2 linked regions of the Xenopus tropicalis genome follow. The protein of the gene in region 1 interacts with the protein of each later gene in a biochemical or structural test. Links are inferred from orthologs where the notes say so. Each region holds a gene or a part of one and is shown on either strand. Other genes may lie near its edges.

The links.
Region 2: the proteins of eea1 (region 1) and rab5c form a complex in vitro, tested with the Homo sapiens proteins (2 studies listed by BioGRID and IntAct, with this or other methods). The link is inferred for Xenopus tropicalis from reciprocal best matches to the Homo sapiens genes EEA1 and RAB5C.

The regions. Positions count from the first base shown.
Region 1 is NC_030679.2:55,861,462-55,864,645, forward strand, and holds the end of eea1 (early endosome antigen 1), read right to left. Parts: coding exon 3,087-3,184; intron 2,686-3,086; coding exon 2,563-2,685; 3' UTR 792-2,562; downstream 1-791. UniProt on the Homo sapiens protein: Binds phospholipid vesicles containing phosphatidylinositol 3-phosphate and participates in endosomal trafficking.
Region 2 is NC_030686.2:6,904,392-6,908,220, forward strand, and holds part of rab5c (ras-related protein Rab-5C), read left to right. Parts: intron 1-322; coding exon 323-474; intron 475-1,506; coding exon 1,507-1,629; intron 1,630-3,260; coding exon 3,261-3,354; intron 3,355-3,829. UniProt on the Homo sapiens protein: The small GTPases Rab are key regulators of intracellular membrane trafficking, from the formation of transport vesicles to their fusion with membranes.

The sequences.
Region 1 (3,184 bases):
TCTTCCATTTTCTGATGCACCCCAAAACTTGGCTGAGCTGACAACTGACCAAGATCCCCTACAGTCTCTCTAAATAGATACCGTGCAATACCAAAAATACAAAGTAGTTCTAGCAAACAGCTTCATGCAATAAAAAGGTAGGCCTCTTTCTAATTCTTAGTGCAATATTCCAAATCACCACCTCCACACAGTTGTCTTAATTCTGCAAAATACAGAGCAGCATGAGTCTGTCAGCCTCAGTCTATCAGCCTTTCATGTTTACTAGTCACAACTAAGTACCTACATGCCTCCAAATAGAGCTCAGTACAAAGACAACAGCCTTCAGTAAAACCTACAAACCTTGCACCCTGCCTTGTACAGGTATGGGACCTGTTATCCAGAATACTCGTAAGCTGGGGTTTTCTGGAGAAGGGAATTTTCCGTAATTTGGCTCTCCATACCTTAAGTCTGCTAAAAGATTATTAAAACATTAAATAAACCCAATAGGATTGTCTTTGCCTCTAATAAGGATAAATTATATCTTAGTTAGGATCAAGTACTGATTTATTAATACAGAGATAAAGGAAATCATTTTTTAAAATTTCAAATGTTTAATTAAAATGGTTTCTATGGGCGATGGCCTTCCAATAATTTGGATCTTTGTGGATAACGGGTCTCTGGATAATACATCCCATGCCTGTATCATATCTGGATCAGGTTTCGAGCAGGCATTAGCTTTAACGTGCCTCACTGTGCCGTTCTTTCTGCAGAAGATGAACTGAACCAGTTTTATTGTTCTGTAGAAAATACAGTTCTAAAAATGATGATCATTGTACACATACTGAATAACACAGGATTAAGACAATCTTCCAAATCTACTAATAAAATACTAACAGCATTCAACTCTCACACGTGAAGCTACTAAAGTGGTTTAGCATTTCGCATGAGCCAGTATGTAAAATTAATATTCGTGTTTACTATTGTCAGTTAAAATGCTGACGAGAACAAACAGGGACAGTGTGAAGCCTATATGAAAAATGAACAGTAGTTTCAAAAGGAAGAACAATTTGCTCAGAGTTGCATTTGCAGACCCATGAAATATTCCAAACATGGCTCTTGGGGTTACAATGCAGCAGTATCTTTAGCTCTTGTTCAGTTTTAACATAAAGAGCAACAGTCCACTAACTTTTGAGCAGGAGTTGTCTATTTAAAGTGACAGTGACACATTCCTTGACTCCCACCCCCCCCCTTTAGCCCCACATGTGCACAAGACTTGCTGGTCATCGGCACGTTCAGTCCAAACTTTACCTTCTTCCCTCCACAGCCGTGAACTTACTAAACCCCACTTCCACCTACTGTAGCCTCTATTTATAGGCGCATACCAGCTTCATCCCACCCTCTTTATGACATCAGAGATGTCGTGGGTTGGCGTGGGTCTATAAACAGAGGTAGATACAGGTTTGACACAGGTTAGGGTCAGCTTTTTGTCGGCCCACACATCACTATTGCCCAACCACCAAGGATATTACTGCTGCAGCAGCGATCACTGAAAAGGTGTTGTAGATTAATAGACAAAAATAACTGGGATTGGCTACAGGTAAGGGAAGGTGTTAGTTTAACAGGTTACATTAGTGCTAGCAAGCATCCGGAAGAAACACACTCGTGTATAAATCTGGATGTATCAGTGTCACTTTAAAAGGCCAATAACATAGTTTCATCCTAGCCGCAATGATGGTACCTGCTTAAACGATGCTTTCACTTCCCATGGCTGGGACACTGAGCAAATACAGCTGCAGGATTCATTTTGGGCTTTCATTTTATTACAAACAAAAGGCCTTCTTCCAGCTCTGTTTGGTGCTATATAACAGTTCTAAGAATATCTCAATAGGGTTTAGCTTCTAGGAAGGTGAACGTTTTTGTACAGCTTTGTGCAGCAGTGGAGGCAAGGGCTTAGGTCACACAGGGAGTTTAGTGAACAGCATTTTCTCATTGTGTTTTGTACAGCAAATAGACTATTAGGATCCTACAGGAAAGAATGGATCTTGTGTTAGAATACAGATATTCTCCATGTGTGACACAAGCCACAAGGAGAACAACAACCAAAATACAAGAGCGGGGCACAATGGCAATAGGAAAGGAACAATAGAAACAGTGGCAAGTCGCTGCCCCTAATAAAAGAAAGGTATAAACCATGAGAGCCAGATTATTATTCCCACCGAACCCAAATATTAGTAAACTATTGGACTGATTTCCTGGTATACTCTGAAATTATGTATAAAAATACGCAGTTGCCTCTTTGTTAGCCTACTATTTACAGGCAGCCAAACCAAACAAACTAAAAACACATTTAAAAAATCTTGACTGAAAGCTAAAGGCAGGATAAAGACCATCAACTGGCCTCATGTTGTCATGAAAAATACAATTATCTGACTTTGTATCAATAAAATATTTCCAAAGGTATACTGTGGTGCCAAAGGTTACAATCAATCTTCATCCAAAGAAATAAGTACTTTGAGTGCTTTATGAAGTGCATTAACAAAAATACTATGTGTAATTTGCAGGTATCTATTGAGGGAGTGGCTCCTATCCTTGCAGGTCACCAAAACATGTATCACAAACACGCACAGCTTTTTTGGAGGAGGGCGTTAAGGCATTCTTCGAGGAACATTCATGACAGAAGATATTTCCACACTGTCTACAGTGGTGCTGCAAATGAAAAGACAAAATAAGATTAGATTTACTGCAACTCAATGTGACATTTTTATGCTAAAAGGATAAAGTCCATAACCCAGCCAGCAGTAGGCTCTGAGTGCCGGATAAAAAATTCTGGCAATCAGTGCAAAAGGCAGTGCCAGCAAAGGTCCCCAGGCAGGCTCTGTATCCTGCCACTCTCTACCTTGTGTGGCTAAAATATGCGCATGACTAACACAGCGCTGGATCCAAAGGCCTGCAATCTAAAATGGAATGGAAAGCAGAATGCAGCATTGCAAAGAAATAGCTGGGCTGCTATGTACTCTTTTGCCAAGCTGGGACACACTCGGTAAACTCATGAAAAGTGCACATAGCTTTGAACATATCTGAAATATAGTAGCTATCATTTCACATACCCTTCTTATTGTTACAGAAAATCCTCTGCCACATGACATGCAGTTCTGCACTTCGTGGTCCTCTGTCCACTTCCTACTGAGTGCTTGGTTGTGCTTTA
Region 2 (3,829 bases), on another chromosome or scaffold:
ATTGGGTTTATTTTATGGTTAAATTATTCCTTTTTTTCCTTACCCTCCTCAGATTGGGGGGGTACAGCTATAGGGTAGAAATTAAAATGTAGCATATACACTTTCATCTCATAATGTAATGCTTGGGTGCTTTTTTTTTTGTTGTGCTAATTGGTGTCTTGAAAGCCACACTTCCCAAACTGGGGTTTCATTTCCTCCTCTGTGTTGACCTTAGCAACTCGTCACAGACCTTAGCAACCTTACCAACATTACCCTCACACAATCATAATAGTGCTAATATGTATATAATAATAACAATAATATTATGTACTTCTATCTCCAGCTGCCTTTCTAACACAGACCTTATGTTTGGATGATACAACGGTGAAGTTTGAGATCTGGGACACGGCAGGGCAGGAGAGGTATCACAGTTTGGCCCCCATGTACTACCGAGGAGCCCAGGCAGCCATTGTAGTTTATGACATCACCAATACAGTAAGTGCACATTACATGAAATAATGCCCTATCTCTCTGCTCAGTCCTTGTCCTAATTGCCCCTCTCCAGAGAGCAGCCAATCACAGATCTGCCTCCACGCGGGGAAGGTCCTGCTGCTGGCTCTCTTGTCACAGACTGGGAAAGCAGCCAATGGGAAGGCTCTCTAGTACCAGCACTTTTTTGGATAAATTTTTAGTACAAAGTACAAAAGGCAGTGACTCAAGCAACTTTCCACTTTTTTTCCCCCTCAATGGTAAATATTTATTCTTGACATTATACGACAGATTTATGATTTTGAGGTTTTTTTATACTGCTTTTTTTCAGTTTCATGGAAAAAAAAACACTTGAATTTTTGCAAAATTTCAGATTTTACAGAAAGAGACCTAAATGTTCAATTTGTATTAAAAAAAAAAAAAGCTATTTTCAAATTTCAGTTTTCAAGAAAAATTTGACATTTTGAAGGTTTTAATAATAAAAGAAGATAGCAATTAAGGCAATTTTAATATGTTACAGAATGTACTATTCCTAGCAACTTTGCAATTGGTCTTCATTATTTCTTTTTTATAGTTTTTATTATTTGCCTTCTTTGTCTACATCTTTCCACATGGGGGGGGGGGGGGGGTCACTGACCCCCAGCAGCCAAAAAAACCTTCTTCTTACAATTGTATTTGAATTATTACTTTGTATTCCTTATCTTTTTATTTAGTCCCTCCTCTATTCATATTCCAGTCTCTCATTCACACCCACTGCCTGGTTGCTAAGGTAAACAAGACTCTAGCAACTGGGTAGCTGCTGAAATTCCAAACTGGAGAGCCGCTGAACTTTCAGTTCAGCGGCTCTCCAGTTTGTAATTTCAGCAGCTATCCGGTTGCTAAACGACTGACAAACTACAAAAAAAATAAAGACCAATTGCAAATTGTCTGAGAATATCAACGTCTACATCTTAGTAAAAGTTATTTTCAAGGTGAATGTTCTCAGTACAACACTTTTCTCTATGAATTTCTTTTAAAGCTCTGTACTTTGTTCTGTAGGAAACATTTGCAAGAGCAAAAAACTGGGTAAAAGAACTTCAGCGTCAGGCAAGTCCCAACATTGTCATTGCCTTATCTGGGAACAAAGCCGACCTCTCCAGTAAGAGAGCTGTGGATTTTCAGGTGAGCTTGTTTGTTTTTAAGAAATATCATACTAATGGTTTGGTTCACCTTTAACGTTTAATATGTTATAGATTGGCTAATTGTAAGCAACTTTTCAATTAGTCTTCATTTTTTATCATTTATAGTTTTTGCATTATTCGCCTTCCTGTTCTGCCTCTTTGCAGCTTTCAAATGGGGGTCACTGACCCCGGCAGCCAAAACTATTGCTCTGTGAGGCTCCAGTTTTATTAATATTGTTACTTTCTATTACTTATTTTTCTATTCAGCCCCTCTCCTATTCAAATATCGGTCAATCTCTCAAATCACTCCCTTGTTACTAAGGTAAATTGGATCCTAGCAGCCAGATAACTGCTGAAATTCCAAGCTGGAGAATTGCAGAACAAAATTAAAATAACTAAAAAAAAATCAATAATAAAAAAAAATGAAGACCAATTGCAAATTGTTTCAAAATAGCACTCTCTGTGTCATACTAAAAGTTAATGTAAAGGTGAAAAGTACACTTTTTAAAATATATTTACTTTTGTAAGAGAGAGAAAAATAAAAAATGTTTTCAGTATAGTTAGTTAGGCAAAAATGTAATCTATAAAGGCTGGAGTGGGCAGATGTCTAACATAATAGCCAGAACACTACTTCCTGCTTTCAGCTCTCTAACCTCTTAGTCAGTCAGTGACTTTAGGGGGGGGCCACATGGGACATAACTGTCAGTTTGCATTTGAATGTGACCCGTGTGCTCACAAACTAACTGAACACTTATGTCCCATATGGCCCCGCCTAAAGTCACTAACTAACTAAGAGGTTAGAGAGCTGAAAGCAGGAAGTAGTGTTCTGGCTATTATGTTAGACATCTGCCCACTCCAGCCTTTATAGATTACATTTTTGCCTAACTATATTGAAAATATTTTTTATTTTGCACAGACTGTCTATTTTACCCCGTTTCATTTTTACACAGAGCTGTTCCTTTGAAATTCTGTAGTCAATCCCAAGTCCATGCATGGCACTGCCCGGCCTGACTCTGTTATTTATATATATTCCCGTGCATCTTACCCCAGCCCATAGTGCTCTCCTCATTGTCTGCCCCTTGAACTACTGCCCTTCTGTGCTCCTTCCCTGTGCCTGCACTATGGGCAGAAGACTCATCCCTGCTTAGTGGAGCTCACCCTAGCAACGTATAGGTAAGGCTGTCACATTGCCTGTAGCTCATCCAGTCTCCTCTAGTGCACTCTCCCAGCTCAACCAATTGGCTAGTGTAAAGGTCCCCGTACACTGGCAGATCGCCAAGCCAGCGGATCTTCTCACGATATCACCACCTACAGGTGTGTAGGCCCGTCGGTAGTGCCCGTCGGTAGTGCCCATACACGGGCCGATTAGCTGCAGAATCTGTCTAAGGGACCCATATCGGCACCTACTATTGGCCCGTGTACGGGGGCCTTTAGAGCAGTGCTGTTATAATTCCCAATAGCTGGCTCCATGGATCCCTCCAGATGTTTCCTGTGCCGGCATATTTATCTATCTCAGTACTAAATGTCAGCTCCCCTCTGCTGGTTTTCCCAGTGATCTATTGTGTTCCAGATATATTGCTTCTAACTGATACCTTGGTTTATTTTGCTCACCATGGAATGTTCCATTTGCAGGAAGCTCAGGCATACGCTGATGACAACAGCCTGCTCTTTATGGAGACCTCTGCTAAAACCGCAATGAATGTGAATGAAATCTTTATGGCCATTGGTAACGTTATTGTGTTTTACTACTTCTCATGAATACACAAAAACTCCTTTCTGAAAACTCTCTGTACTGCTCTTTTTTTTACTGGTGCTTTTAGTTTATACCCGTTACTTGATGATTTATGCCTCCCTGCTTAATTTTTCTGCACAAAAGATCTACTCCAGCACTGGGGGGGGCTGAAAGGCTAATCTTGCAAGCAGTACTAGCACAGATTGTTATGTTGGTGACGGAAAGGCAGGCAGGTAGGCAAGGGCCACACACAGATTAGCAATTAAGGGGGAAGCAAAAAAAGGAGTTTGTAGTGCAGCAGAGGTTCATTATTGTACAGGTATAGGATCTGTTATCTGGAAACCGGTTTCCAGAATGCTTGAAATTATGGGAAGGTAATTTCCCGTAGACTCCATTTAAATCAAATAATCCTTTCTTTTTCTCTGTAATAATAAAACAGTACCTGTACTTGATCCCAAATAAGATATAA